7 linked regions of the Callithrix jacchus genome follow. The main gene of each other region encodes a partner of the protein of the gene in region 7 in a complex. Links are inferred from orthologs where the notes say so. Each region holds a gene or a part of one and is shown on either strand. Other genes may lie near its edges.

Region 1 (3,500 bases), on a different chromosome or scaffold from region 7:
AATCTGTACAGTCACGGCTTCGACATGGAGAAGATTCCACTCCACATGTTCTCACTGAGCAACAGGCAACCAAAGAGAACCTAATTAAGATGCAGTCCATTGCTGAAAGGCATCTTGAACTGGATGGTGTTCACGATCCACTGCTTGCCATTAACTTTGCAAGGTGATAACCACCTGCAAGATTATCAGTGATTGAAATGGCGTCATCTGTGCAACGTTCGGTAACTGTTTATTTCTGGAAGGCAGGGCTTTCCAGGGCCAAAACAAAAACACGTGTAGGCTGTCCTTTTGTTTTGTTCTGTTTTGTTTTGTTTTTTCCTTCTTTTGTTTTTGAGACAGAGTCTTGCTCTGTCGCCAGAGCTAGAGTGCAGTGGCGCGATCTTGGCTCACTGCAACCTCTGCCTCCTGGGTTCAAGCAATTCTCCTGCCTCAGCCTCCCGAGTAGCTGGGACACCAGCTAATTCTGTTTGTATTTCAGTAGAGACAGCGTTTCACCCTGTTGGCCAGGATGGTCTCGATCTCCTGACCTTGTGATCCAATGGCCTCGGCCTCCCAAAATGCTGGGATTACAGGCGTGAGCCACCACGCCCAGCCTTGTTTTGTTTTCGAGACGGAGCCTCACTCTGTCTCCCAGGATGGAATGCAGTGGTGCGATCTTGGCTCACTGCAGCCTCCGCCTCACAGGTTAAGTGATTCTCCTGTCTCAGCCTCCCAAGTATCTGGACTGCAGACATGCACCACCATGCCTGGCTAATGTTTTGTATTTTCAGCTTTCATCATGTTGACCAGGCTGGTCTCAAACTCCTGACTTCAGGTGATATACCCACCTTGGCCTCCCAAAGTGCTGAGATAATAGGCGTGAGCCACCACGCCCCGCCTGTCTTTTACAATGAGCAGAATACAAAATGTGCTGGCCTATTTCAGGTATATAGTTTGGATTCTGTCATTTGTGAAAGTCTGCAGACTTGGCCCTGCCACCATGTGGTAGACCCTGTGTCTGTGCCCTCAGGCCCCTGGAAGTGTCATCATTTACCCAGGATGTGCTGAAACTCTGGGCCATGTGTGGGCCCTGGACATCCATTGAGTCAGGGTCCCCATTGCCATATGTCCTCGGCTTAAGCTGCTTTTAGGCACTTTGCCCAGTAGTGTAAGTCATTATTACCCACAGTTTTGGGTTGTCTAATGGCCAGCATTTGCTACATGCAGCCTTAATCACTGCAAAGATCGGCTCTAAGGCCGGGCACGGTGGCTCACGCCTATAATCCCAGCACTTTGGGAGGCCGAGGCGGGTGGATCATGAGGTCAACAGATCGAGACCATCCTGGTCAACAAGGTGAAACCCTGTCTCTACTAAAAATACAAAAATTAGCTGGGCATGGTGGTGCGTGCCTGTAGTCCCAGCTACTCGGGAGGCTGAGGCAGGAGAATTGCTTGAACCCGGAAGGTGGAGGTTGCAGTGAGCCAAGATTGTGCCATTGCACTCCAGTCTGGGTAACAAGCAAAACTCCGTCTCAAAAAAAAAAAAAAAGATCGGCTCTAGTACCTGACCCTAGGGCAATGGCAACTTAAAGAGACTGGTTCTCTCAAAAGATATTTTGGGGAGAAAGATTTTTCGCTTTCTGTAATAGTTGGTAACTTCAGGACTAAAGGTAAAAATGGGAATTTGGGGTTTTAAGAGAATTTTGTTGACAGCCACTTATAAAAAGAAGACTCACATTTTTATCTTGAAGGATGTATTTGGAGCAGAGCGACTTTCATGAGAAGTTTGCTGGTGATGATGTGTGTGTGGATAGATCATCAGAATCTGTGACATGCCAGACCTTTGAATTAACGCTGAGATCCTGCCTCTATCCTCATATTGATAAGCAGTATCTGGATTGCTGTGGAAATCTCATGCAAACGCTAAAAAAAGATTACAGGTAAAAGAGTAATTTGATTTTGGAAGTAGTAAATAGATGATTGTACTTGAAGAGCAGTTGAGATTGTTTTAAAAACCTACATTTCAATTCCATTTTTATTAGAGTAGGAAATGGATATGCAGTAAACAATTTTTTTTTTTTTTTTTTTGAGACTGAGTTTCGCTTTTGTTACCCAGGCTGGAGTGCTGTGGCGTGATCTCGGCTCACTGCAACCTCCGCCTCCTTAGTTCAGGCAATTCTCCTGCCTCAGCCTCCCAAGTAGCTGGGACTACAGGCACGCGCCACCATGCCCAGCTAATTTTTTGTATTTTTAGTAGAGACGGGGTTTCACCATGTTGACCAGGATGGTCTCCATCTCTTGACCCCGTGATCCACCCGCTTCAGCCTCCCAAAGTGCTGGGATTACAGGCGTGAGCCACCGCGCCCGGCAGTAAACAATTTTTTAAGAGAAATCAATTGACCATCAATATTTTCTTAACCATGTTTTGAAACTTATTTGGTTATTTCTGAGGATCTTTCCCAAAAGAAATGTGGGAAAAACTTGTAGAAAAATGTTACAAAGTTTGTTACCAGAATGAAAAACACAAAATTACTTAGTGATAGATGACTAGTTCTTTAAGCTATGGCATATCCATAAATATGGCATATATATACCCATGTGTGAACTTTGTAAAGTTTATAAAAATTATGGCAGTTAAAAAGTAGAATATATAATATGGTAGGAACTAGGTTTTCTTAACACATAGAAGAGAAGACAGGAAAGAAACATTCCAAATATTAAATATTAATGGTGGAAATCCACCATGAATCATGGGATTTGGATTTTTTTTGTTACATTTCTGTGAATGCCTAATTTTCTGTAACGTTATAGAAGGTCACCTTCTGATGATGAGAGGAAAACCTATGCTGTTTTTATTCTTGAAACAAGTCTTAAGAGGTGTTAATATTTCTAATTTTAGTAAAGGTAGACTGTAAACTTGTTTCACTAAAAACCGTAGGGTCCAAAACCTGGTATTGATCCCTAATCCTGCCTTACAAATGTCAGAGATCTTGGGTCACTCATTTCCTCTCCAGATTGGTAGAATACTTGCAAGCCATGAGGAATTTTTTCTTAATGGAAGGAGGAGATACCATGTATGACTTCTACACATCAATTTTTGATAAAATAAGAGAAAAGGAAACCTGGCAGAATGTCTCTTTTCTTAATGTCCAACTCCAGGAAGCCGTAGGACAACGTTATCCTGAAGATAGTTCACGGTAAAATATGGACGCCACCTTTATTTGAATTAGTATAAAATGAACTATGTGCCAGTAAGTCTTCTATGAATTATACATATTATTTTTCCTTGCACCATTCCTATGAGTTTTACTAATATTATTTTACATATTAGAAAATTGAGGCCAGGCGTGGTGGCTCACACCTGTAATCCCAGCACTTTGGGAGGCAGAGGTGGTGGATCACCTGAGGTCAGGATTTCAAGACCAGTCTAGCCAACATGGTGAAACCCCATCGCTATTAAAAATACAAAAATTAGCTGGGCATGGTGGCAGGTGCCTGTAATCCCAGCTACTTGGGAGGCT
Region 2 (4,254 bases), about 180 Mb from region 7:
TGACTTTGGGACCACAGGTTAGGACTTGAATGTATCTTTTCTGGAACAGGCACAATTTTACTCATGACACAGCACAATTCTAAAAATAGAGACTTCTGGGAAAATACAACATGGTCCATGGTAGTAGTAATTTTTGTGATATGAACATACGCTATTTAGCTCCTTGTCTTCTGGTGGTGTTGGATGTTAGTTTAATCTTTTTTAACCAGGATGTTCCCCATAACTTCATTAATATTTTTCTAAATAGAAGCATCTTTATTTAGAATGAACTAATAGGAATCTCTAACCTTTAGTGCTTCAGTAGCCTTGCGAAGCTCCTTAATAACCGATGATAAAGCTTCTGGGTTAATTCCTTGTTCACAAAGCCGTACACAAATAGACAGAGTTTCCATATCTAAGCCAGTATTCAAAATTCTTGAAATCTCAAGCAGAACTGAAAAAAGATATAAAGAAAACTTAAAAAAAAAAAGCTTATGGCATTGAAAAACATGCACATAGTACTTTTATTAATTTATATATCACTGCACAATACCAGGGAATTAGCATAGCATCCCAGGTTTTGGAAATCTGCATGTAATACTGTCTTGCCTTTACTTCATCTTAGAAACTTAAATATAAACTTACAACTTCACGTCACATAACTGCCTTTTCCATCTTGGTATATATTCTAGCACTCATTTAATATCTATCTAACACATATCCACCACACTTAGGATAATTCTGAACACTTTCTTATTTTTTAGTATTCTTTTAAAATGCAGTTTAATTAGTTGAGTATCATTCCATTTGATGGAAACACTATGTTTAACTACTCAGTTAGGTGTTAGGCTGCTCTCATGTTTCCCACATTAAATAATATTAAGAATCTGTACATACTATATTTTATTTCATTAGGATAAATTTCTAGAAATAGAACTGCTCAGTCAGTAATATACATATTTAACTTGCTGAATTGACATATATTAGGCAAAAAAAGAGAAAAAAGTACATATTTAAGGTTTTAAAAGTGTTTAGAAACTTTTCAGTGTAATCATGTCTGTTGAATCTAATAATAAAAATGAAACCTTATATTTTTTAAACTTCATTTGTATAGTGCTGCATTTTATTGTACTTGGTAGAAGTCTTTGTCTTTAATATGAGAAGTACTAACAGAGAAACCTGGTTTCCAATGTGATTTTCCAAGAATCCCTTCCATTACAGGTTGTAAGTACACTGGTTCCATTGAATTTTATGATTGCTTCGCAGAGAGTTTAGAATATTTTAACTGTCAACATATTATCTATTGTTTCCTACATCATTTCCCCTTGGCATTAAGCTTAGAAAGTTATTCCCCATGCAAAGATTATATCCACCAGTATTCTCTTCCAGCACTTGAAAGTTTATTTCCCAATACCCCCCAGTAGGTATTTATCTCCCTGGAGTTTTGGTGGAAAATAGGATCTAACTTTTCCTCCCAGAAATGAGCCAGTTGCCCCAGTAAAATTTATTGAACGACCTAAGCTTTCCCCACCCAGTTGAGATGCTACCTTTATTCACAGTAAATTCTCATATACCTACAAATTGGTTACATGTCTACCTTTTGTTAGGGCAACCATTTAATTACTATTTATATCTATCGCATTGGGTAGGATAAAGATTCCATTGTCACCTTTCATTTATGCAAGCCCTTTTATTCTTTGGGTGAAGTTAAAATGTCTAGGCCCACTGCAAATGACAACATTTAACATGGATCACACACTCATATACAGGTGGATATGAGTAAAAAGGAGACAAAGTAAGAAGACTACGAGGGAAATGACATCTGATATAATATGAAAAATAATGGATCAACCAAGATATGCTTTTACCTGGTTGTCTTATTTAAATATTCACAACAACTCTAAGAGGTATGATTTTATTTTACAGAAAAAAAAGCCAAACAGGCTCAATGATGTTTAAGTATCTAGTCCAAGCTCAGCACAGGGGCACAAAGTGGCAGAACCGACATTAAAGGATGGAGAGAGGGAAATCTCAAGACACTATTAGTGTTCTACCACGCTTGTGTAGGCTTCACTCGCAGGTGCCTCCGGACCAAAAACAGGCGACACTCACAGCACTTGAGCACTGGCATCACCCGCTTCAAGAGGAAACTAGGACAATTCTGAACTTGTTCATTCGCAGGATATTAACGGCGCCTACAGAAGTGCCAAGGACACGAGGCATAGCGGTGACCAAACACCTGGCCCCGGTCCACGCCGGGATCTCAGCCTTGGGGACCCCCGAAGCGCCCCGCACGGCACGCCCGCGGGAATTGGGTGGGGCGCGGCGCGCAGAAGAGAACGGGTATCTGCGTGGGGTAGGCGTGGCGCGTGGGGCCGTCACCACAGGAGAGCGGGCGGGTCACGCGGACCGGGGACGCGGGATAGAGGGGGCGCTGCATTCCGGGTAGGGCGCGAGAGGGACGCGGTGCGCAACGGGCTGACCAGGGGGCCGGAACGCCTAGCGCGCGCGACAAACTACGCAGTGGCGGAGACAACTCTCCAGGGATAAGGCCATTAGTCCTACAGCCCTGGCAGGTCTCTTCCAAAGATCTTTGACGATGCCGTTTGGGGCAGGAGGAGGACCTAGAGTCCTCTCCAGGCTCCGCTCCGCCTGGGGGCCTCGGCTCTGGGAAGGCAGGCAAGGTAAAGAGGGCGCAACGGGCACTCACCGTCCATGGTCTCCCGCACCGCATTCAGATTCGCCGCCGCGGCTGCCGCCGCCGCCCCGGCGCCGCTGCTACTCGCCATGACTGAGGCCGAGGGAGGCGGGAGAAGGGCCTGACCCGGAACTGGAGCGCCTTCCTCTCTGCGGGGCAATCACACCGCGCGTCCCGGCTCACGCCGGGCAGGCTCCGCCCCTCGCGCTTGCCGCCGGCGTGAGGCTACGTTGATTTGAATTTGGAGCCTCGTTCCTCTGCGCGGAACGTGGAGCGGGGAGTTGCTATTCGAATTTCCTAAGCGGCCTCCGTGCGATTGGCTGGTTCGCGGACGGCGGGGCGATGCTATTGGTCAGTCGTTCACAAGTCCCGTGCCCTGGTTGGCCGAAGACACAGCGGAAGCGGGGAGTTAAAGAGTCTGCTTGTCGTGGAAGCTGGCTCGGTCCACGGGAGCTCGCTGGAGAAGGTATTGGGGGCTTCCTTTTGTATGCACCGGTAGGTACGTTCTTTGTGGACCCCACCCTTTTCTCCTGTTTGAATGGAGAGCTTTCTTTTCCGGCTCAACTCTTGCCTGCCCGCTCGCCCCTGGTGAATGGGAGCAGTCAGGCAGTAGGTGTGGAAGAGAAGGGCACCAGAAAGAGTGGCCGCGTAGGGTTGTGGGTGACACTTCCTCCGCGCTCCACCCGAGGAAACCGGCTGCATTTCAACCTTCCAGAAGTAGATTATTCTTCTCCACCTCCCTCCCAAGTTGTAGCCTCTACAGCTTCCTTCGATCGGAAGTAATGCAGTCTCTTTTTCTGTGCTGGGGCGGGGGGGTTGGCGAAGGGAGGATTTTGGAGGAAAGGGCACCCAACCAGTTAATTTCCTAACCCCTGTCAATCATACTTCTCTGGATAGAACTCAGCACAAGCTTCCTCATCTCTTACCTGCTTCCTACAAACAACTGTTTAATAGCAACTGTAGCTGGATAGGGTATCCGAAGGATGTTCACAGTGTTGAGACATGAGATGATGAATTAAAAAAAAAATTGTAGATATAAGTCCTTCAGTTGAGAAGAGATCTTGCCTCTTGTAACCTTTAGTTGCCTCAGGAAGTAGGTGTGGAAGAGAGGGGCACCAGAAAGAGTGGCGGCGTAGGGTTGTACAGTCTCTGAACTCACGGCAGATCTGAACTCATTCATATTTGTTGACTGCTGTGTATAAGCCACTACACTTCTCTGAGCTTATTAATTCTTTCGCAAAATGATATCACTAATAACTTACTGCTGTAGCTTCCAAGGTTATTTTGAGGATCACTTGAGAAAATTTGTGATACTTTTTTTGTAAGCTCTAACATAGCCTCAATAGTGTTAAGTTTTGAGTTGTTTTTGTGACACATGTGTTTGTCGAATACATTTTAATAGTTAATATCTATAGGACTCGGTAATTTTAACATGCATACTCGATTTCTTTTTAGTTTCCTCTTTGTGCTATGGGAGATGTCAAGGAATCAAAAATGCAAATAACACCAGAAACTCCAGGAAGGATCCCTGTTTTAAATCCTTTTGAAAGTCCTAGTGATTATTCTAATCTCCATGA
Region 3 (3,500 bases), on a different chromosome or scaffold from region 7:
TTAATAATTTTTTTTGTTCATTATATTGTTGTTTCTGGTTCTAGCATGATGTAAAGAATCATCGTACCTTTTTAAAGCGGACCAAATATGATAACCTGCACTTGGAAGATTTATTTATAGGCAACAAAGTGAATGTCTTTTCTCGACAGTTGGTATTAATTGACTATGGAGATCAATATACAGCTCGCCAGCTGGGAAGTAGGAAAGAAAAGTAAGAAAATAATTATGTATTCTTTTTCCATTCTCTGACTTTAAGCCCAAAGTCAGGCAGAATTAAGACTGGGAGGTTTAACCATAATGAGGACAAATAGGACCTGGAAAATGGTTGTCTTCATTCTTTCTTTTTCTTTTCTTTTTAATTGAAAAATAATTGATAATATCATAGTTGTTTATGTCTCATCTGACTTAATCATATTTATGTCTCCTGTGGCACTTAGCACGTCTCCTTCCATAATGCAAGCACCTTCTCTGTATTAGCTGAATGAATTCATAAATCACAATTTAAAAATCTATTATTTATTCTTTCCTTTTTCCATTTTCTCCCTGTTTTCAAATGATGATCTTTGATATAGTTGACCAGGAAGATTTTGTCTAGATTGTTTGTAACTAATGCTGTCTGTTCTTGAGCTTTATTAACAGACATATATATCTAAGAAATGTTGATCAACTGATCAATTGAAAAATGACAATATGAGTGTTGTAAAAAGGAAAAAGGAAAGAAACCATATAAAGAAATTGTGATACTGGGAGACTGATCTGTCTTGTTTGTAACTGTATCTCTAAAAACTGTTATAGCGATACCTCAAACAGTAAATTATTCAGAGTGTGACCCACAAAAGTTTGTTAAATAAATGAGTGAATAAATTGATGTCATCGAAATGTCTGGAGTATGGTATGTCAAAGGAAGGGTTTCCCAATGGCTGGCATCCCGCCTCCTTCTCTTCCTCCCACTGCATGTGGCTCATTCTATGAAAGACAAACTGTAGCATGATGCCTCCACCTGTGTCTCTATTCTCTCTATTGTTTGTCAAAACTGCATTTATCATTCATTTTCTCAGTTTTGATTTAGAAGAGATACAGTCATCTGTAAAAGGGGTTAAGAAAAAAATTAGAAGAGAGAACAATTTGAAGATGCAATTGAAAGTTAGACTTACAGAAAACTAGGACTTTTGATAATGTTTTTCTTCCGAATATTGATTTTCAATATTAGCACAATGGCATTTTAATTTTCAGTCTCTGCATTTATGAGTTTCCAGTTTCTAAGACTAGAATTAATTATATTTGAAATGAAATTTTAATTCCTTTGTCATCTTTCTTGGCTCTGATTGCTGTAGCTTATATTTTATATGGTTTGGGGAGATTTTTTTTTCCTGCAGAGTGATTGGTATTGTAACTAAAAATAGGGATTATTAGTAGAAGTTAAGACTGTATGTATAAAAGGCTCCAAAAATGACTTAATTCAATAGGGAAAACAAATCAATCAAACTGTTTTTTGAAATCTACTACTCAAATGATTAGCTGATTGCATAGCATCTGAGTCACTCTCATAATAACATGGTATCTCTTTCTGTGACTTCCATAGTCTTTCTATACAAGCACTTTATAATTCTTGAGGTGACTGGATTCTCAGTGTGGCTGTTAGTACACAAATGGTGTTAGTACACAAATGGATCAGAGGGGTGGTGAATGCCTCATAAAAAAGGAAGACCAAAGACTCCCTTTGAAATAGGACAAACATTTCAGATATTAAATAAGGATCTTTTAATGTTATGAGATCTTATGTAAAAGTCTATGGGATTAAGGAAATGCCAACCATAATTCCTTTATTTAAAACTAATAAATATATGTAGCATTCGTTTATGGAGCACATACTATATGCCAGTCATTACAATACTCACTTTACATACACCTCAGTTCAAGACTACTTTATTTTATTATTATTATTTTTGAGACAGGGTCTGCTGGCTCTGTCACTCAGGCTGAAGTGAAGTGGCATGATCATAGCTCACTGTAGCCTTGACTTCCCAGGCTCAAGTGATCCTCCCAGGTCAGTCTCCTGGGTAGGTGAATCTACAGCCCTGCACCACTATGCCTGGCTAATTTTTTGGTGTTTTGGTAGAAATGCAGTTTTGCCATCTTGCTTACGCTGGAAGACTACTTTAAATATTTAAACTAGCAAAATAAGTGACTTAGGGAGGCAGGGTTAAGAGTCTGACCTAATAAAAATAAAATAGCCATTAAAATTATAATTTACATATTTTAATTCTGATTTGACAGAAGTGAATGTTGTTAAATCTATTTTATAGAATGGGTAAGTAACTTGTCTGTAGTCACACAGCTAGAAAGTAAAGGGAAATTGTATTTTTTGTCTAAAATTCATTCTCTTTCTACTAAACCTCTAATTAATAGGGCAGGTGCTGTTGAATGGGACTGATTTGAAAACAGGAGGAACGGAAGAATTCTATTTTAATATGAAGACAAATTTGAAGTATTTGGGCTTCATATAGTTAATGAAAATATATACAGTATATATTTTACTAACTCAAATTGATTCACCATCTTCTCTTCTTACTCTTTCTTAACTCCATATGGGTTAGAAAATCCAGCAGCCCTTTGGGTGATTTAAATAAATTTCTTCGAAACCCAAGAGTTTCAAAAATGTATTGTTTTATTTAAATGGCAAAAAGTAAAGATATGAAAATATATGTATATGTCTGTCAGCATTCTACAGAAACACCTTCTGTATAATAACTGATTTAGTCTAGTTCTCAGTTTTGTATAGTGTTGAGGAAAATTTATGAACGAATTACACTTTAGTCTTTTGTTTCTGTAATAAAGCTGGTAGTGAGGATGATCAGTGAAATTGATCCCATGGAGCTAACTGAGGAGCAGTTATCCAGATAATTTAATATAATTCAATTTAACTCATGAACTAGCTTCAGCTTTCCAATTCCCTTCGACTGTAGAAATCTGACATTTGGTTCACATTTCTATCCTCTCTATATAAAGATCCTCTAATCACATGGATGAAGGTTACAAGTTGTCAATGAGTCAGTCTTTGATTTTAATTTTAGCTAGTAATCAATTGATGCTTTATGACTCTGTTGTTTAGTTGTAGAGACACAATACAATTTGTGTCTTTCTAAAAATTTATTACCTCAAACCAGAAATAATTAAAAAGTTTTCATATGAAGAGTCAATATATATATGTATGTGTGTACATGAATGATAGAGGAATTTTATATGACAAGGAAGCTATTCCCCATATGATAAATGAGGTATTAAATGTTTACTTTGGTAGCTTTATAGCTATAGTAAGAAGTTTATAAAAATTAATGAAAAATAATGCCAGTATCCTATTTAAGAATTCATTAATTTTAAGTACTGAGCCACATATTTACATTCAGCAGTCCCATTCCTTTTGAATCTCAGCCGGAAAGCAAACCATCTAATCAAATGAAAGGGAGAAAGGTGAACAACATTATAGTAAATGCTAAATA
Region 4 (3,500 bases), about 190 Mb from region 7:
AAATAATTAATTATCTAGGCAATGTTCAGTTCACCTATTTGGCAAGGCTCTCAGATCTTGTGAAATAATCTACGCAATTATCTGTACTATGGTATCTCTTATGCTATGAAAATAACACGTAATGTACGCAAATTAATAAGGCAGGAGATGTGAAAGTTACTAATTTAAATAATTTGTGAAGCCCAGGCATGGTGGCTCACGCCTGTCATTCCAGCACTTTGGGAGGGAGGCAGGTGGTGGTTAGGACTTTCGAGACCAGCCTTGCCAACAGTTTGAAAGAAACTCCATCTCTACCAAAAATTTTAAAATTAGCCAGGCATGGTGGCTCATGCCTGTAATCCCAGCTACTTGGGAGGCTGAGGCAGGAGAATCACTTGGACCCAGCCAGGAGAGGTTGCAGTGAGCCAAGATCGCACCACCGCACTCCAGACTTGGCGACACAGTGAGACTCTGTCAAAAATAAATAAATAATTTGTTAAAATATCACACTACTTCTTGCATTACAACCATTTTAAATTGTTTAAGACATAAGTCAAAGGAGAAAACGGGGATTTGAATATGATGAGAAATTAAATCTGAAGTGAGGCTATGCACTTAAAATATAGTAGCTTTGATCCATAAAGGCTACACACCCGGAACTTACATGTTAAAAAAAATCAATCCCAGCACTTTGGGAGGCCGAGGCGGGTGGATCACGAGGTCAACAGATCGAGACCATCCTGGTCAACATGGTGAAACCCCGTCTCTACTAAAAATTACAAAAAATTAGCTGGGCATGGTGGCGCGTGCCTGTAATCCCAGCTATTCAGGAGGCTGAGGCAGGAGAATTGCCTGAACCCAGGGGGCGGAGGTTGCGGTGAGCCGAGATCGTGCCATTGCACTCCAGCCTGGGTAACAAGAGCGAAAACTCCGTCTCAAAAAAAAAAAAAAAAAAATCGCACCAGCGGCTCCCACCTTACTGTAGGAGACAGGCTCACCAGTGGCAGGTTTCTTAATCCCAAAAGAAAACAGGGTGAGCGTGCCCTGACGCGATGATTTCAGCAGCGTGATGTGAACCTGAGACGTGGGGAAAGGTGCGAAGCAGGCTCTTCCAGAGCAACCAAGAAGAAATTTTAGAGCCCAACTATATTCCTTCTCAACAAAATACTTTCCCCAAAACCTCAAAGAAATGCAATGTCCTTCTTCAGTATTTCAGATACAAAGATAACTGAAGTAAGTTTAAAGGGGTATCTTGGTCAATGAAATGTACTGGAGTCTGAATACTTTAAAAATGAGCACTGAAAAGAGGTATTTTGAGTGCAGACATGGAAAAAGACGGCGTCCCTGGTCAGCCTTTTATGATTTGGTAAGTGTTATGCAGGTTGAAGCACTATGAACAAAGTACAGCTACTTCATCATCAGTTTAAATGAATACAAACATCAAACTTTCTCTCTGAAGGAAAGTGTAATTCCCCTAAAATACACTTTATAGCTCCTTTCAAATTATCCTAAATTAGTTGCTACAGTCTAAGAATAATGGAATGAAATGAACAATCTATTTATTAAGGACTTGCTGAAACCTATGATAGAACAAATGATATTTTTTGTTTTTTTTGAGACGGAGTTTGGCTCGTTACCCAGGCTGGAGTGCAATGGCACGATCTCAGCTCACCACAACCTCCGCCTCCTGGGTTCAGGCAATTCTCCTAAACAAATAATATTTTTAAGAATTTTTAAAATAATAGAGCAGTTCAGTACTCATTAATAATCATTTAAAATACACACACAATTTTGGCTTAAGTATTCATTCAATGAGTATGTCTTAGATGTCGAGTGATCACTTTAATTAGAAGTCCCCAGAGAAGAAAGCCGATTTCAAACAAAATGTTTAGCAATCCTAACAGCTGCAAATACTATAAAAGGATCATCTTACAGTTGCAATTGGTCCATCCACATGATAATCGAGGCTGAAGACATCCCACCCGGTGTCGCCTGGAGAGACCTAACAGAAACAAACACGTAACTGCAGACACATAACTGAGGACGTGTTGACTCAAAGAAACAGCAGTAAAAGAGCGCCCGATTGTTACAAATTGCTCAACAGTTCCGAGTGCATCTTCTTGTTAACGTCTATAACCTTACCAATTAGACAGCAATGAACACACAGTAGGTGCTCTGCAAACATCTGGCAACAAGCAAGGTATTTCTGAATGAATACTGTGGATACGTGTTTAAAATTCATTGTCATTTGCTTATGACAAAAGCCCACTGGAACTAAGTATGTTCCAAATCCTTAGCTATTCCAACATGACTCTTTGGACATTTTAAGAAAACCAATAGGTTTTGCTAATGATCTTTCATCACAACTAAGCAAATAGTGGGTTTATGTTTAAAATATCCATACCCTTAAGAAAAGTCACATCCTACCAAACTGAAACTAAAAACATCAATTTTCTGATAAATATCATTATATACCATGTCTTGTGCTCCTGTCAGATTCACTGTGAGAAGGAAGCACTATTTTCTAAGCATCTGCAATGTGCTACCAAGCACGGGGCAAGGGTGTCCTGCATTTTCTCCAACTTAAGCCCAGCAGCCCTGCAAGGCTCCCTGCTGTAAGATGAGCGCACAGAGGCACAGAGTGGAGTAGAGGGGGAGCTGGCCATGCAGTAACAAGGGAGAGTGGAATTCCTACTCAGGCTGCCCAGTTTCCAGAAACATAATGACCAGCTGTGCCTGAAGTAACATGGAAAGCACTCGCTACGACACCCCAGCCCAGGGGTCCTCAGGGCCGGGGCAGCGTTCCCAACACACGGGGCCACAGTAGTACCTCCAGCAGCCGCACGTCCAGCCTTCGCAGGATCTCAGGACTGTCAAACTGTGCGTTGGTGGCTCTGACCGCAGTTTCTAGAATCCCAGTCAGGTTATGCTGATATAAAGTCGTAGCTGGACGGACAAGTTCTGGTCTTAACAAATTTTTTAAAAATTAAAGAAAATATTACTTTAATTCTTAACTTTAAAAAAGCTTAAAAACTATAAAAATTAAGAGTTCAAATCATAACAACTCAAAAGAAAAATGGGACCAATACAATAATGTGGCAACGAAAGCCTCATGGCATTAACTGCAAACAGGGCTTACCAATTATTGTGGAGTTACATTTCTTTACAGTCTCAAAAATACTGGCCTGTAATCCCAGCACTTTGGGAGGCCGAGGTGGGTGGATCATCTGAGGTGAGGAGTTCAAGATTAGCCTGGCCAACACAGTGAAATCCTGTCTCTACTAAAAATACAATAATTAGCCAGTTGTGGTGGTGCACACCTATAATCCCAGCTACTAGGGAGGCTGAGGCAGGAGAATCACTTGAACCCAGGAGGCGGAGGTTGCAGTGAGCACCACTGCACTCCAGCCTGGGCAACAGAGTGAGACTCCATCTCCAAAAAAAAAAATGATTCTGATTCAGCTTAAACTGAAAGTACTTAGATGTGCTATGCTATACACATTAACAAAGTTTTCAAACTT
Region 5 (3,500 bases), on a different chromosome or scaffold from region 7:
TCACTTCTTTTATTTTGGAGGTGGAGTCTCACTCTGTCACCCAGGCTGGAGTGTAGTGGTGCATTTTTGGCTCACTGCAACCTCTGCCTTCCAGGTTCAAACAATTCTCGTGCCTCAGCACCCTGAGTAGCTGGGACTACAGGTGCACACACCACCACACCCAGCTAATTTTTTATTTTTAGTAGAGACAGGAGGGTCTCACTCTGTTGCCCAGGCTGGTCTTGAACTCCTGCAGACTCATTTTGTGAATGTTACTTGCTGGGTCTCTGGTTCTTGATTAACCAAGTCGTTATCTTTTCTTTTTTTCTTTTCTTTATCACAGCAGATGCTACTCAGGCAAGAGAAGGTCCTTCTCGGGAAACTTCTCCCCGGGAAGCCCCTGCATCTGGCTGGGCAGCCCTAGGTCTTTCCTACAAAGTACAGTGGCCACTACATATTCTTTTCACCCCAGCTGTCCTGGAAAAGTGAGTATTTCTGAGTTTCTCTCACAGGTAAATATAACCCACCTTCTTGCAAGGGAAAAAACTAGCAGGAATAGAATTACTGGGAGAACAAGCTGTGGTAGCACATGTCTGTAATCCCAGCTACTCCAGAGCCTGAGGCAGGAGGATTCCTTAAGCCTAGGATTTCAAATTCGTCCTGAGCAATATAGTGAGACCCCATCTCTTAAAAAAAAAAAAATGAATGGGAGCAAGATAGCTACCCAACTAGTTTTTAACAATCTGTAAATCAAAAGTTGTAAACGCCTATGCCTTCACGGGGTAAACTGATCACATTAGTAAGTGAAGCTCAGATATGAGACACAGGGAGTGGTGGGTGTTGAAATCCACGGGAGGGCATATACCTACTTCAAACCGTTGTTTTGTTAATTGCCAAATAACAAGCAGTTTGTAGGCTGCCAGTTTGTGACCTCTGGAAAATAAGGTCTCAGGTACCATGTCGAGATAATTGCCCTTGATGATTCCCTCATGCCTGACAAGGTCTCTGTCCCTCAATTTTGTAATATTTTTTGTTGATTTACTTGGGAAAGTCCTCCACCCTGCATGTTTGCTGTGGATGTCAGCCGCTGGGGAAAAGGTTGCCTCCTTACCCTCAGGGAGAGATAACAGGGGCAGCCAAGCTTGGGGATGGAGTAAAGGAGCTGACCAAGTTGGAGTCTCTTTCTGTCAGGTCACCCTTGCTCTTTATCATGAGAGCTTGCCAAGTGTTACTGCTTGGCTTGGTCAGGACCTAATGTCCCCAAACCAGAGATCTACAGAAAAGAGGAAAGAGAAGCAAATGTGGCTGGTCATGGCTTCTGAAATCTACCCTCACACCGTATCTAGGAACTTCCCAAACCCAATTACTGGTCAGAGAACTGGCCCCTGGCCTGGAAGGAGACTTGAAGCTGTCATACTCAGTGAAACCAGAGGAATGAAGAAAAGGGAAACAAACAAAAAGGCCATCTCTTCCTCCAGCCACCACTCTTATTCCTTCCTGTTCTTCTTCCTAGCCCTCTCCACGTTTTTGAGGTAGATAAGCTTAGGGTAGAATAGACTGGGCATAAACTAGAAAAGATGAGGCTGGTTCAGGGAGAAAATTCTATGGCAAATTCAGAGCCCATGGCCCAGCTAAAAGCAAGTGGCATGGACCCTGTACAAAGAACTTCCAAAGATCTTCAGCTCCCAGGATCCTGTAGGCCAACAGCCTACTTACCTCCTAACTGGATATGCTCTCAACACCCTTGAAGAAATCAAGTTTAGAAGTATTTTTTTTTCATTTTCATTATAAAAATTTATAAATCTAAACAAAAATATAGACTATAACAAACTCCTGTGTCCTCATTATTCACCTTCAGTAACCATCAACATTCTACTACTAGTTTCATCTGTCCCTCCCCCACTTTTGTTGTTGGAGCTGTATAAAGCAAATCATAATCCATTCATTCTGCCAATAAACAATTGAAAAAGGCATATTTCAGCAGGACTAGAATGCTATTATCACATCCAATAAGATTAACAATAATCCCTGTAATCTGATATCCAGCCTACATTGAAATTTCTCCAGTTATCAAAAAAAATCTTTATGTTTGGGTTTGTTCAAATCAGTATCCAAACAAGGTCTATTATTTTATTATGTTTGTTCCTTTAGAAATAGATAATTTTTAAAACCAAACAGAATGGGACTGTCTTCTGCAAACCTGCCTACAAACAGGTAAATAAATCCAGTTCTACCAAGAATCAGCTGTTCTTCCCATGTGTCGTTTCAGTATGGGGCTTCAGCATTAAGCAGTTAGCTCCTGAGCTTGCAGGGAGGCAGGAGTTTATCTTAGAGGGAAGCTTTGGGCTTCAGGGACAGAGAATCAGCTTCGTCATAATCCTTGATTCATAACACACTATTTTTTTTTTTTTTTTTTTGAGACAGGATCTTGCTCCATTGCCCAGGCAGCACACTGCAGCCTTGACCCCTGGGCTCAAGCGATATTCCTGCCTCAGCCTCCCGAGTAGCTGGGCTGTAGGTGAGCACCACCATACCTGGCTAATTTTTTAAATTTTTAGTAGAGATGGCATCTCACTATGTTGCTCAGGCTGGTCTTGAACCCCTGGGCTTAAGCAATTCTTCTGCCTTGGCCTCCCAAAATGCTTGGATTACAGGCATAAGCCCACCACATCTGGCCTGTTTAAAGAATTATAAAAAAAGCTTTATGTAATCTTTTGTGATTTACCTTTTTCATGCAAAAATCATATTGCTAAGAAGCAATATGAGTCAACTATTCAAAAAGGGATATTTCAACAGAACTATAATGCCATTGTCACAGCCAATAAAATTAACATTTCTCCCTTATAATCTGATATCCAGTCCATATTGGAATTTCTCTAGTTACCTTAAAAATTGCAGAGATGGGGTTTCACCTTGTTATATAGCTGGAGTTCATTCATTTTGGCTGCTATATGATATTCCACTGTATAGATAAATTACAATTTATTTGTCTACATGTCTAGTCATTCTTTCCTTACTGCTTTTTTCTGAGATGGGTGGGTAGCACAAAGTCCTAGAGTCTAATGTGGGGGAAGTACAGGGGGTGAAATTTTCATCTTGAATATCCTGTTGTTTCTGTCCTAGATACAACGTTGTTTTCAAATACTTATTGAGCGTGCGCCGGGTGCAAGCTGAGCTGCAGCACTGCTGGGCCCTACAAATGCAGCGCAAGCACCTCAAGTCTAACCAGACTGATGCGATCAAGTGGCGCCTAAGAAATCACATGGCATTTTTGGTGGATAATCTTCAGTACTATCTCCAGGTCTGTGCTGAGAGATGAGTAGAAGGAAGGGATACGGAAACAAGCCTAGGAGGTTGGCAGGGAGTATCAAAGAGGGACTACAGTTTTGTATTTGATAAAATGGTGGGGTTTGAGAAAATTCAGGAGTTATATCACTAGGCATGTTTCTTTAAAAAGCATTTTATTTTGTTACTTTTTAGACACAGGGTCTTACTCTATTGCCGAGGCTGGAGTGCAGTGG
Region 6 (4,157 bases), on a different chromosome or scaffold from region 7:
GTGTGAATATACTGAAAGCCACAGAACTGTATGCAGTGCTTACAAATGGTTACAATGGTAAATTTTAGCCAGGAGTGGTGGCTTATACCTGTAATCCCAGCATTTTGGGAGGCCGAGGCAAGAGGATTGATTGAAGCCAGGAGTTCAAGACCATCCTGGGCAACACGGTGAGATCCCCATCTTTATAAAAATACATTTTAGGTCAGGCATGGTGGCTCACACCTGTAATCCCAGCCCTTTGGGAGACTGAGGCTGGTCGATTATGAGGTCAGGAGTTCGAGACCAGCTGGCCAATATGGTGAAACCCTGTCTCTACTAAAAATACAAAAAAATTAGCCAGGCGTGGTGGCACGTGTCTGTAGTCCCAGCTACTCGGGAGGCTGAGGCAGAAGAATCACTTGAATCTAGGAGATGGGGGCTGCAGTGAGCCGAGATTGTGCCATTGAACTCCACCCTGGGCAACAGAGGGAGACTGTCTAAAAAAAAAAAAAAATTTAAATGGCCAGGCACAGCTCACGCCCGTAATCCCAGCACTTTGCGTAATCCCAGCACTTTGCGTAATCCCAGCACCTTGGGAGGCCGAGACCCGCGGATCGCTTGAGTTCAGGAGTTTGAGACCAGCCTGGCCAACATGGTGAAATCCTGAATGTACAAAAATTAGCTGGGTGTGGTCACGGGCACCTGTAATTCCAGCTACTTGGGAGGCTGAGGCAGGAGAATTGCTTGAACCCAGGAGGCGGAGGTTTCAGTGACCTGAGACCGTGCCACTGAACTCCAGCCTGGGCAACAGAGCGAGACTCTGTCTCAAACAAACAAACAAACAAACAAAAACCATATATATAAATTAGCTAGGCATGGTGGCACATGCCTGTAGTTCCAGCTACTCGGGAGGCTGAGGTGGGAGGATCACTTAAGCCAGAAGTTCAAGGCTACAGTGAGCTATGATCGCGCCACTGTATTCCAGCATGGGTGACAGAGCGAGACCCCTCTAAAAAATAAAAAATAAAAAGGTTACATACATGTGTATGTGTGTATTGTAACACCATTAAAAAACAGAAATTTAAAAGAAGAAAAGCTGGCTTCTAGCACCTGGAACTAGCAAAGCTGACAGTCACTCACCTACCAATATAGGTAGGTGACTCTATACCTGGACAACCACATCCACCTGGTTGCTCCGCCCCTTTCTTCCCCTCCCTGTCCCTCTGCTCCCCTCCGCGTCCCTTCCCTCTCCTTCCCTCTCCTCCCCTCTCTTCCCCCCACACATCCAGGTTCCGACCTTGCCACCCCCAACGAGTCTCACTGCGCAGGCGCGGACCGGTGGGCAGGAGCGGGCGTGGCCTCACTCTGCGCCTGTGCCGAATTCCAGCTGCGACTGCTGAGGGAGAAAATGATGCCCAGGTTGGGCTCCTCGGCCCGCCGGCCGAGGAAAGGCCTGCGTTGCACACGCGCAGACCGAGCATCCGCGTCAAGAGGGGAAGAGAGAGCGCGCTCCCCACGTCTGGCGCGCCTGGCTGCCAGGCATTCGTCTCAGCCGTGACTCTCGCCAGGCCGGGGCTGGCGCGCCCACGTCTGAAGAGTGATGCCCCGGGAGATCATCACCCTGCAGCTGGGCCAGTGCGGCAACCAGAGTGAGCAAGAGAGCGCCGGCCCCGCCGGTCTCTGGTTCTGCCCCTTCGGGTCCCACCCAAGTGCCTGGCTTCCACCTTTCCCTTCCATGAACCCCCTACCCTGCTGCTCTGGATAACCCGACCAAAGCTGCGCCTCCAGCCCGGAGCTGGGGCAGCTCCCAGACCCCCACATCTTGGGTCCACCCTCTGATCGTGTCAGCCTCTGAGACTAAAACTGGGTTCCTCAGGCCTTAAGGCTCTAGCAGACCCGGGCATCTCCCTCCTCCCCCAGTTGGGTTCGAGTTCTGGAAACAGCTGTGCGCCGAGCATGGTATCAGCCCTGAGGGCATCGTGGAGGAGTTCGCCACCGAGGGCACTGACCGCAAGGACGTCTTTTTCTACCAGGTGCCCCCAGCAACTTGGCCAGGGGCGGCAGTGGCCCAAAGGGCCGGAAGGGAAGGGAGTGGCCTGGTACTGGAAGGGGAGCCCCACTGGGCAAAGGGGCCAGGCGGCTGGCTTGAGGAGGGAGGGCCCAGGGAGCCAGAGTTGGGAGGACTTAGGACTTGGGCCGCCCTGGCTGATTGGTCTTCCTCCTGGACTCTCCTTGACAGGCAGATGATGAGCACTACATCCCCCGGGCCGTGCTGCTGGACCTGGAGCCCCGGGTGATCCACTCCATCCTCAACTCCCCCTATGCCAAGCTCTACAACCCAGAGAACATCTACCTGTCGGAGCATGGAGGAGGAGCTGGCAACAACTGGGCCAGTGGATTTTCCCAGGTGTCCAGGCCACCATTCCAGAGACCTTTGATATTCCCACCCAGAGGCAAGGCAGGCTCAAGCTACTAGGAATTTGACCAGACTGACAGAAAATAAGAGAGAAAAGGATGCCCAGAACAAGAGAGACAGTCAGGGAGAGGTTTATGCAAATTTTGTGCAAATCATTTGCAAAAGTAGCACTTCTGGGTTGAGGGCTACAGCCCTGGGTCTGCTTCAGGGTGGCAACAATATCCCAGGGAAGACAGAATTCTTGGTGCTGTGCTGAGAAAAGATGAGCTCTGGAACCTTTGTCCTGACTCCTTTTCCATATCTCTATACAGGGTGAGAAAATTCATGAAGACATCTTTGACATCATAGACCGAGAAGCAGATGGAAGTGACAGTTTAGAGGTGAAGTTATGGAGCAGGGGAAGGAATGGGAGGGAGGCTAGGCTGAAGAGTGCTGGGGAAAGGTCAGGAGGTGGCCTGAATAGGTGATGTGAGGGGAGCAATTCAATTCAAAACCCATTTATGGAGCATCAGATGTGGAATATTGAGGTAAATAAGATATAGTCTTTGTTCTCAAGGAAGTCATAAATCGGGATGGCACCGGCCCCTTAGGCATGAGTCATTCAGCTTCTTCACCAGCTCCAAACCTTCCCAAGGAGCCTCAGCCTGGATACATAAGAGGAAGCTTTGAGACATGGGCGTTTTGGGAATGGGGAATGAGTCATGCCGAAGTCTCTCCCCCAGAACCTTGGAGACTGCCTCTCCATCTCTCCCCATGCTGGGTGCAGTATGTTCCCGGCTCACAGTTCTTATAACCCATGTAATTTCCTAAGAGACTTGAGCAATAAGGGTATGTTTTGTTAAAATATTTGACCTTTTGTCCTTGGTTTCTGAAACAGCTCCAGAACAGCTCCAGAGTGATAAAGGTGAAAGACAGTCTGTTATTTATAACACGCCCCTTTCTTTTAATCTGTCATTTTATTTAATTAGTTAATTTTACTAACCACTGTACTAAGGAGGAACAAATGCCTTTCAACCAAATCTGAGCTTATGTCATTGAGGTGATGTTTGGAAAGTCCCAGATAGCCACTGGATTGGGGGCTGGTTACCAGGGAAACAAGCCTGGTGCTCTGAGGGTTGGAATTTACAGGCCCACCCCTCACCTCTGGGGAGGGGAGAAGGAGTGAAGATTGAGTTGCGCATCAATTGCCAGTGATTTAATCAATCATGCCTGTGTAATGAAGCCTCCATAAAAATCCAAAAGGACTGAGTTCGGGGGCTTCCAGGAAGGTGAGCAAGAATACATCCACATGCTGGGAAGGTGCAAACCCAACACACAGGGCAGAAGTTCTGTGCTCCAGACCTTTCCAGAGCCTCCCCTCAATGTCTTCATCTGGCTGTTTATTTGTATCCTTTAAAATATCCTTTATAACAAATGGGGAAACATAAGTGTCTCCTTGAGTTCTGTGAGCTACTGTAACAAATGAATTGAACCCAAGGAGCAGTCCTGAGAACGCTGATTTATAGCTGGTTGGTCAGAGGCACAGCTAACACAACCTGAAGCTTCTATTGGCATTAGGAGTAGGAGAATCTTGTGGAACTGAGCCTTCACTCTGTGGGATCTGATGCTATCTTCAGGTACAGATACTCCTCAACTTACAATGGCTTTATCAGGATGTAAACCCATCATAAATTGAAAATGTCAACTAGGCATAGTGGCTCATGCCTGTAATCTCAGCACTTTGGGAGGCCAAAGCATGTGGATCACCTGAGCCCAGGAGTTC
Region 7 (3,500 bases):
ATAGGTGTGAGCCACCATGCCCGACGTGTATTTTTAGTAGAGATGGGGTTTCACTATGTTGGCCAGACTGGTGTCAAACTCCTGACCTTGTGATATGTCCACCCAGCCTCCCAAAGTGCTGGGATTACAGGTGTGAGCCACCGCACCCAGACAGTGGACAGTAATTTTTTAATGTTTAGTGTGATTTTTTTTTATGCTAGGTTTCCTAAAATGGAATTTCCTATAATGGAATGGTCAGAAAGTTTCTCAAAAGCATCTTTTCAGAAAGCATCTCAGAAAGTCATTGTAGGTTCCACTGAGGATTATGTGTTATATGGAATTGGAAATTTGTAGTCTTAACAAATTATTTTGGGCCGGGCGCGATTCCTCAAGCCTGTAATCCCAGCACTTTGGGAGGCCGAGGCGGGTGGATCACGAGGTCAAAAGATCAAGACCATCCTGGTCAACAAGGTGAAACCCCGTCTCTACTAAAAATACAAAAAATTAGCTGGGCATGGTGGTGCGCACCTATAGTCCCAGATACTCGGGAGGCTGAGGCAGGAGAATTGCTTGAACCCAGGAGGCGGAGGTTGCGGTGAGCCGAGATTGCGCCATTGCACTCCAGTCTGGGTAACAACAGCGAAACTCCATCTCAAAAAAACAACAAAACAAAACAAAACAAATTATTTTGTTTAATTCCTTAAATGGCTCATTGGGGAAAAACATTGTATGGTACACCTGTGCTTGAGAAAAACAGAGAAACGTTTTGCTAGGTCTTTGCCTCTAAGAAGTAAATGGAACTTTGTGGATAAAGTTTGTGGAATTCTTATTGCCCTTGGATGAAATGTGGACACAGGAATGAGTGGCGGTTTGTTCTTCCCTGTGTCTCCAGGTCCCACAGAGTGTGGATCACTGGGAAGATGAAGGGTTCCAGTCAGCATCCAACCTGACTCCTGATTCCCAGTCTGAGCCCAGCGTGACCCCAGACATGGACCTGTGGGAAGCCGCACTCACCTACGAGGCCAGCAAGCGGAGGTGCTGGGAGCGAGTTGGATGGTGCGTGCCCTTCTTTGCCTTGGCATGCAATGCCCTACACCTGTGTGAGCATGGCCTTGGGTGTGTGAGGGGCATTGCTGTCTCAGGGGCCCAGGCAGTTGTGATGGGTTAGGGACCTGGAAGTTTCGGTTAAGGTAGTGTCCAAATGCAGAGGGGCAGAGACCAGCAGCCTTTAAGGGGATCTCACCTCCCTGTGCCAGTAACCAGATCATATCTTCCAGGCAGAGCAGTAGGGGACAGCTAAGATATGTACTCACTATCAGTCAGAGGTGCCTGAGAGCTGCCTGGCAGGGTGTGTGGTCAGTGCCAGGAAATGCTTACCGGGCACTGGGTGCTGATGGAGCCTTTTCCATCCATGTCTGGAGGAGGTGGGGTGCTGAGGAAGGACCCTTTTCCATCCATGTCTGGAGGAGGTGGGGTGCTGATGGAGCCTTTTCAATCCATGTCTGGAGGAGGTGGGGTGCTGATGGAGCGTTTTCCATCCATGTCTGGAGGAGGTGGGGTGCTGATGAAGGACCCTTTTCCATCCGTGTCTGGAGGAGGTGGGGTGCTGATGAAGGACCCTTTTCCATCCGTGTCTGGAGGAGGTGGGGTGCTGATGGAGGACCCTTTTCCATCCGTGTCTGGAGGAGGTGGGGTGCTGATGGAGGACCCTTTTCCATCCGTGTCTGGAGGAGGTGGGGTGCTGATGGAGGACCCTTTTCCATCCGTGTCTGGAGGAGGTGGGGTGCTGATGAAGGACCCTTTTCCATCCGTGTCTGGAGGAGGTGGGGTGCTGATGAAGGACCCTTTTCCATCCGTGTCTGGAGGAGGTGGGGTGCTGATGGAGGACCCTTTTCCATCGGTGTCTGGAGGAGGTGGGGTGCTGATGGAGGACCCTTTTCCATCCGTGTCTGGAGGAGGTGGGGTGCTGATGGAGGAGCCTTTTCCATCCATGTCTGGAGGAGGTGGGAGTGGCACTCTGGGTGATGAGAAGCTGCAGCTGCAGCAGCTTTTCCCTGCCTGGTGCCAGCAGCTTGCTCTCTGGATGCAGTAGCCACTCTCTGGCTCATCTGGGTCCAGAGGCCTCTGCACTCAGGACCTCTCAGTCTGTAATGTGGTGGTATCTTTTCATAACTTCCAGAACCCAGGTAGAGAATATGCATTTTGGCTGGGTACGGTGGCTCACACCTGTAATCCCAGCACTTTGTGAGGCCAGGATGGGCAGATCACTTGAGGTCAGGAATTTCACCTGGCCAACATGGTGAAACCTCATCTCTACTAAAAATACAAAAATTAGCCATGTGTGGTGGCACTTGCTTGTGATCCCATCTACTCGGGAGGCTGAGGCACGAGAATCGCATGAACCCAGGAGGCAGAGGTTGCAGTGAGCTGAGATTGTGCTACTGCACTCCAGCCTGGGCAACAGAGTGAGACTCTGTCTAAAAAAACAAAGAGTACACATTTCCCAAAATGTTTGTTTGGCCATGGAATGCCCTGTTCACATCCAGTCCACTGGGGATTCTGTTGATACCGGTTTGGGGAGTGTTAGGTGAGAGAGTCAGGGCTGGCCAGGAGCTGAGTGCTCTCAGATGCAGTGTTGGGGCTCCTGCAGGGCCTGGAGAGGAGCATGTGCCCCCTTTGAGCTTTCCTGACATCATAGATTCCTCCAGGGATGGCTAGCTCCCTGCTTCCCAGCACAATGGTGGTGGTGGCATTGTCCTGACTGCCGGGGGCTTTCCTGCTTCTCAGCACAATGGTGGTGGTGGCCTTGTCCTGATTGCTGGGGGCTTTCCTGCTTCTCAGCACAATGGTGGTGGTGGCCTTGTCCTGATTGCTGGGGGCTTTCCTGCTTCTCAGCACAATGGTGGTGGTGGCCTTGTCCTGATTGCTGGGGGCTTTCCTGCTTCCCAGCACAATGGTGGTGGTGGCCTTGTCCTGATTGCTGGGGGCTTTCCTGCTTCTCAGCACAATGGTGGTGGTGGCATTGTCCTGACCGCCGGGGGCTCCCTGCTTCTCAGCACAATGGTGGTGGTGGCCTTGTCCTGATTGCCGGGGGCTCCCTGCTTCTCAGCACAATGGTGGTGGTGGCATTGTCCTGACTGCGGGGGGCTTTCCTGCTTCCCAGCACAATGGTGGTGGTGGCATTGTCCTGACTGCGTGGGGGCTCCCTGCTTCTCAGCACAATGGTGGTGGTGGCATTGTCCTGACTGCGGGGGGCTTTCCTGCTTCCCAGCACAATGGTGGTGGTGGCATTGTCCTGACTGCGGGGGGCTCCCTGCTTCTCAGCACAATGGTGGTGGTGGCATTGTCCTGACTGCGGGGGGCTTTCCTGCTTCCCAGCACAATGGTGGTGGTGGCATTGTCCTGACTGCGGGGGGCTCCCTGCTTCTCAGCACAATGGTGGTGGTGGCATTGTCCTGACTGCCGGGGGCTCCCTGCTTCTCAGCACAATGGTGGTGGTGGCATTGTCCTGACCGCCGGGG

The links.
Region 1: the proteins of TUBGCP6 (region 7) and TUBGCP5 are in contact, whole or in part, in a cryo-EM structure (PDB 7QJE), measured with the Homo sapiens proteins. The link is inferred for Callithrix jacchus from reciprocal best matches to the Homo sapiens genes TUBGCP6 and TUBGCP5. Residues at the interface, in NP_065194.3 of Homo sapiens: Glu290, Ala291, Ser292, Lys293, Arg294, Arg295, Cys296, Trp297, Glu298, Arg299, Val300, Gly301, Cys302, Pro303, Pro304, His306, Arg307, Glu308, Glu309, Pro310, Tyr311, Leu312, Glu314, Lys322, Arg325, Leu326; in NP_443135.3 of Homo sapiens: Asp211, Asp212, Arg213, Trp215, Leu216, His219, Val220, Val221, His222, Trp225, Ser230, Phe232, Pro233, His234, Leu238, His239, Ser240, Asn241, Leu242, Leu264, Val265, Thr266, Glu267, Thr268, Gln269, Arg272, Val302, Thr303, His304, Leu305.
Region 2: the proteins of TUBGCP6 (region 7) and MZT1 are in contact, whole or in part, in a crystal structure (PDB 6M33), measured with the Homo sapiens proteins. The link is inferred for Callithrix jacchus from reciprocal best matches to the Homo sapiens genes TUBGCP6 and MZT1. Residues at the interface, in NP_065194.3 of Homo sapiens: Met1, Ala2, Ile4, Leu7, Phe8, Asp10, Leu11, Cys12, Ala14, Leu15, Pro17, Ala33, Leu37, Val40, Ala41, Ala44, Leu45, Asn48, Ile70, Leu73, Lys85, Arg88, Leu89, Leu92, Val93, Glu95, Leu96, Leu104, Leu105, Ser109; in NP_001065243.1 of Homo sapiens: Asn17, Ala20, Val21, Thr24, Val27, Leu28, Glu30, Ile31, Ser32, Ile34, Leu35, Asn36, Thr37, Leu39, Glu42, Thr43, Leu44, Ile46, Cys47, Arg49, Leu50, Cys51, Glu52, Gln53, Ile55, Asn56, Pro57, Glu58, Ala59, Leu60.
Region 3: TUBGCP6 (region 7) and NME7 share a complex: the UniProt entries of both Homo sapiens proteins name them as parts of the gamma-tubulin ring complex. The link is inferred for Callithrix jacchus from reciprocal best matches to the Homo sapiens genes TUBGCP6 and NME7.
Region 4: the proteins of TUBGCP6 (region 7) and TUBGCP3 are in contact, whole or in part, in a cryo-EM structure (PDB 6X0U), measured with the Homo sapiens proteins. The link is inferred for Callithrix jacchus from reciprocal best matches to the Homo sapiens genes TUBGCP6 and TUBGCP3. Residues at the interface, in NP_065194.3 of Homo sapiens: Pro65, Arg67, Asn68, Leu71, Met72, Ser74, Phe75, Asp76, Arg78, Asp87, Glu90, Asp151; in NP_006313.1 of Homo sapiens: Pro9, Asn10, Val11, Leu13, Gln14, Glu25, Ala26, Ala29, Gln30, Phe32, Gln33, Val36, Arg37, Ile39, Gly40, Ser41, Phe43, Thr129.
Region 5: the proteins of TUBGCP6 (region 7) and TUBGCP4 are in contact, whole or in part, in a cryo-EM structure (PDB 7QJE), measured with the Homo sapiens proteins. The link is inferred for Callithrix jacchus from reciprocal best matches to the Homo sapiens genes TUBGCP6 and TUBGCP4. Residues at the interface, in NP_065194.3 of Homo sapiens: Leu312, Thr313, Ala315, Gly316, Arg317, Ala319, Phe320, Phe323, Leu326, His327, Glu349, Pro390, Glu391, Ser392, Ser395, Leu396, Glu399, Tyr403, Ser455, Leu456, Leu457, Thr458, Gly460, Phe461, Lys464, Lys465, Arg468, Arg471, Tyr472, Glu475; in NP_001273343.1 of Homo sapiens: Met1, Ile2, His3, Glu4, Leu6, Leu7, Ser10, Gly11, Tyr12, Pro13, Gly14, Ser15, Ile16, Gln29, Phe31, Pro32, Phe33, Leu34, His35, Pro36, Glu38, Thr56, Ile59, Glu60, Thr63, Val66, Gln67, Gln68, Ile84, Arg87.
Region 6: TUBGCP6 (region 7) and TUBG2 share a complex: the UniProt entries of both Homo sapiens proteins name them as parts of the gamma-tubulin ring complex. The link is inferred for Callithrix jacchus from reciprocal best matches to the Homo sapiens genes TUBGCP6 and TUBG2.

The regions. Positions count from the first base shown.
Region 1 is NC_133507.1:1,848,464-1,851,963, forward strand, and holds part of TUBGCP5 (gamma-tubulin complex component 5), read left to right. Parts: coding exon 1-163; intron 164-1,730; coding exon 1,731-1,919; intron 1,920-2,993; coding exon 2,994-3,176; intron 3,177-3,500. UniProt on the Homo sapiens protein: Component of the gamma-tubulin ring complex (gTuRC) which mediates microtubule nucleation.
Region 2 is NC_133502.1:42,552,907-42,557,160, reverse strand, and holds the start of MZT1 (mitotic-spindle organizing protein 1), read right to left. Parts: upstream 2,801-4,254; 5' UTR 2,769-2,800; coding exon 2,690-2,768; intron 434-2,689; coding exon 288-433; intron 1-287. Other genes in the region: BORA (protein aurora borealis), read left to right, coding at 4,148-4,254. UniProt on the Homo sapiens protein: Required for the recruitment and the assembly of the gamma-tubulin ring complex (gTuRC) at the centrosome.
Region 3 is NC_133519.1:33,151,153-33,154,652, forward strand, and holds part of NME7 (nucleoside diphosphate kinase homolog 7), read left to right. Parts: intron 1-44; coding exon 45-211; intron 212-3,500. UniProt on the Homo sapiens protein: Possesses an intrinsic kinase activity. Displays 3'-5' exonuclease activity with a preference for single-stranded DNA. Does not seem to have nucleoside diphosphate kinase activity.
Region 4 is NC_133502.1:27,997,016-28,000,515, forward strand, and holds part of TUBGCP3 (gamma-tubulin complex component 3), read right to left. Parts: intron 2,946-3,500; coding exon 2,810-2,945; intron 1,982-2,809; coding exon 1,913-1,981; intron 1-1,912. UniProt on the Homo sapiens protein: Component of the gamma-tubulin ring complex (gTuRC) which mediates microtubule nucleation.
Region 5 is NC_133509.1:31,140,268-31,143,767, forward strand, and holds part of TUBGCP4 (gamma-tubulin complex component 4), read left to right. Parts: intron 1-322; coding exon 323-464; intron 465-3,102; coding exon 3,103-3,280; intron 3,281-3,500. UniProt on the Homo sapiens protein: Component of the gamma-tubulin ring complex (gTuRC) which mediates microtubule nucleation.
Region 6 is NC_133506.1:121,228,168-121,232,324, reverse strand, and holds the start of TUBG2 (tubulin gamma-2 chain), read left to right. Parts: upstream 1-1,357; 5' UTR 1,358-1,579; coding exon 1,580-1,628; intron 1,629-1,899; coding exon 1,900-2,012; intron 2,013-2,218; coding exon 2,219-2,386; intron 2,387-2,706; coding exon 2,707-2,775; intron 2,776-3,272; coding exon 3,273-3,299; intron 3,300-4,157. UniProt on the Homo sapiens protein: Tubulin is the major constituent of microtubules, protein filaments consisting of alpha- and beta-tubulin heterodimers. Gamma-tubulin is a key component of the gamma-tubulin ring complex (gTuRC) which mediates microtubule nucleation.
Region 7 is NC_133502.1:218,817,571-218,821,070, reverse strand, and holds part of TUBGCP6 (gamma-tubulin complex component 6), read left to right. Parts: intron 1-871; coding exon 872-1,035; intron 1,036-3,500. UniProt on the Homo sapiens protein: Component of the gamma-tubulin ring complex (gTuRC) which mediates microtubule nucleation.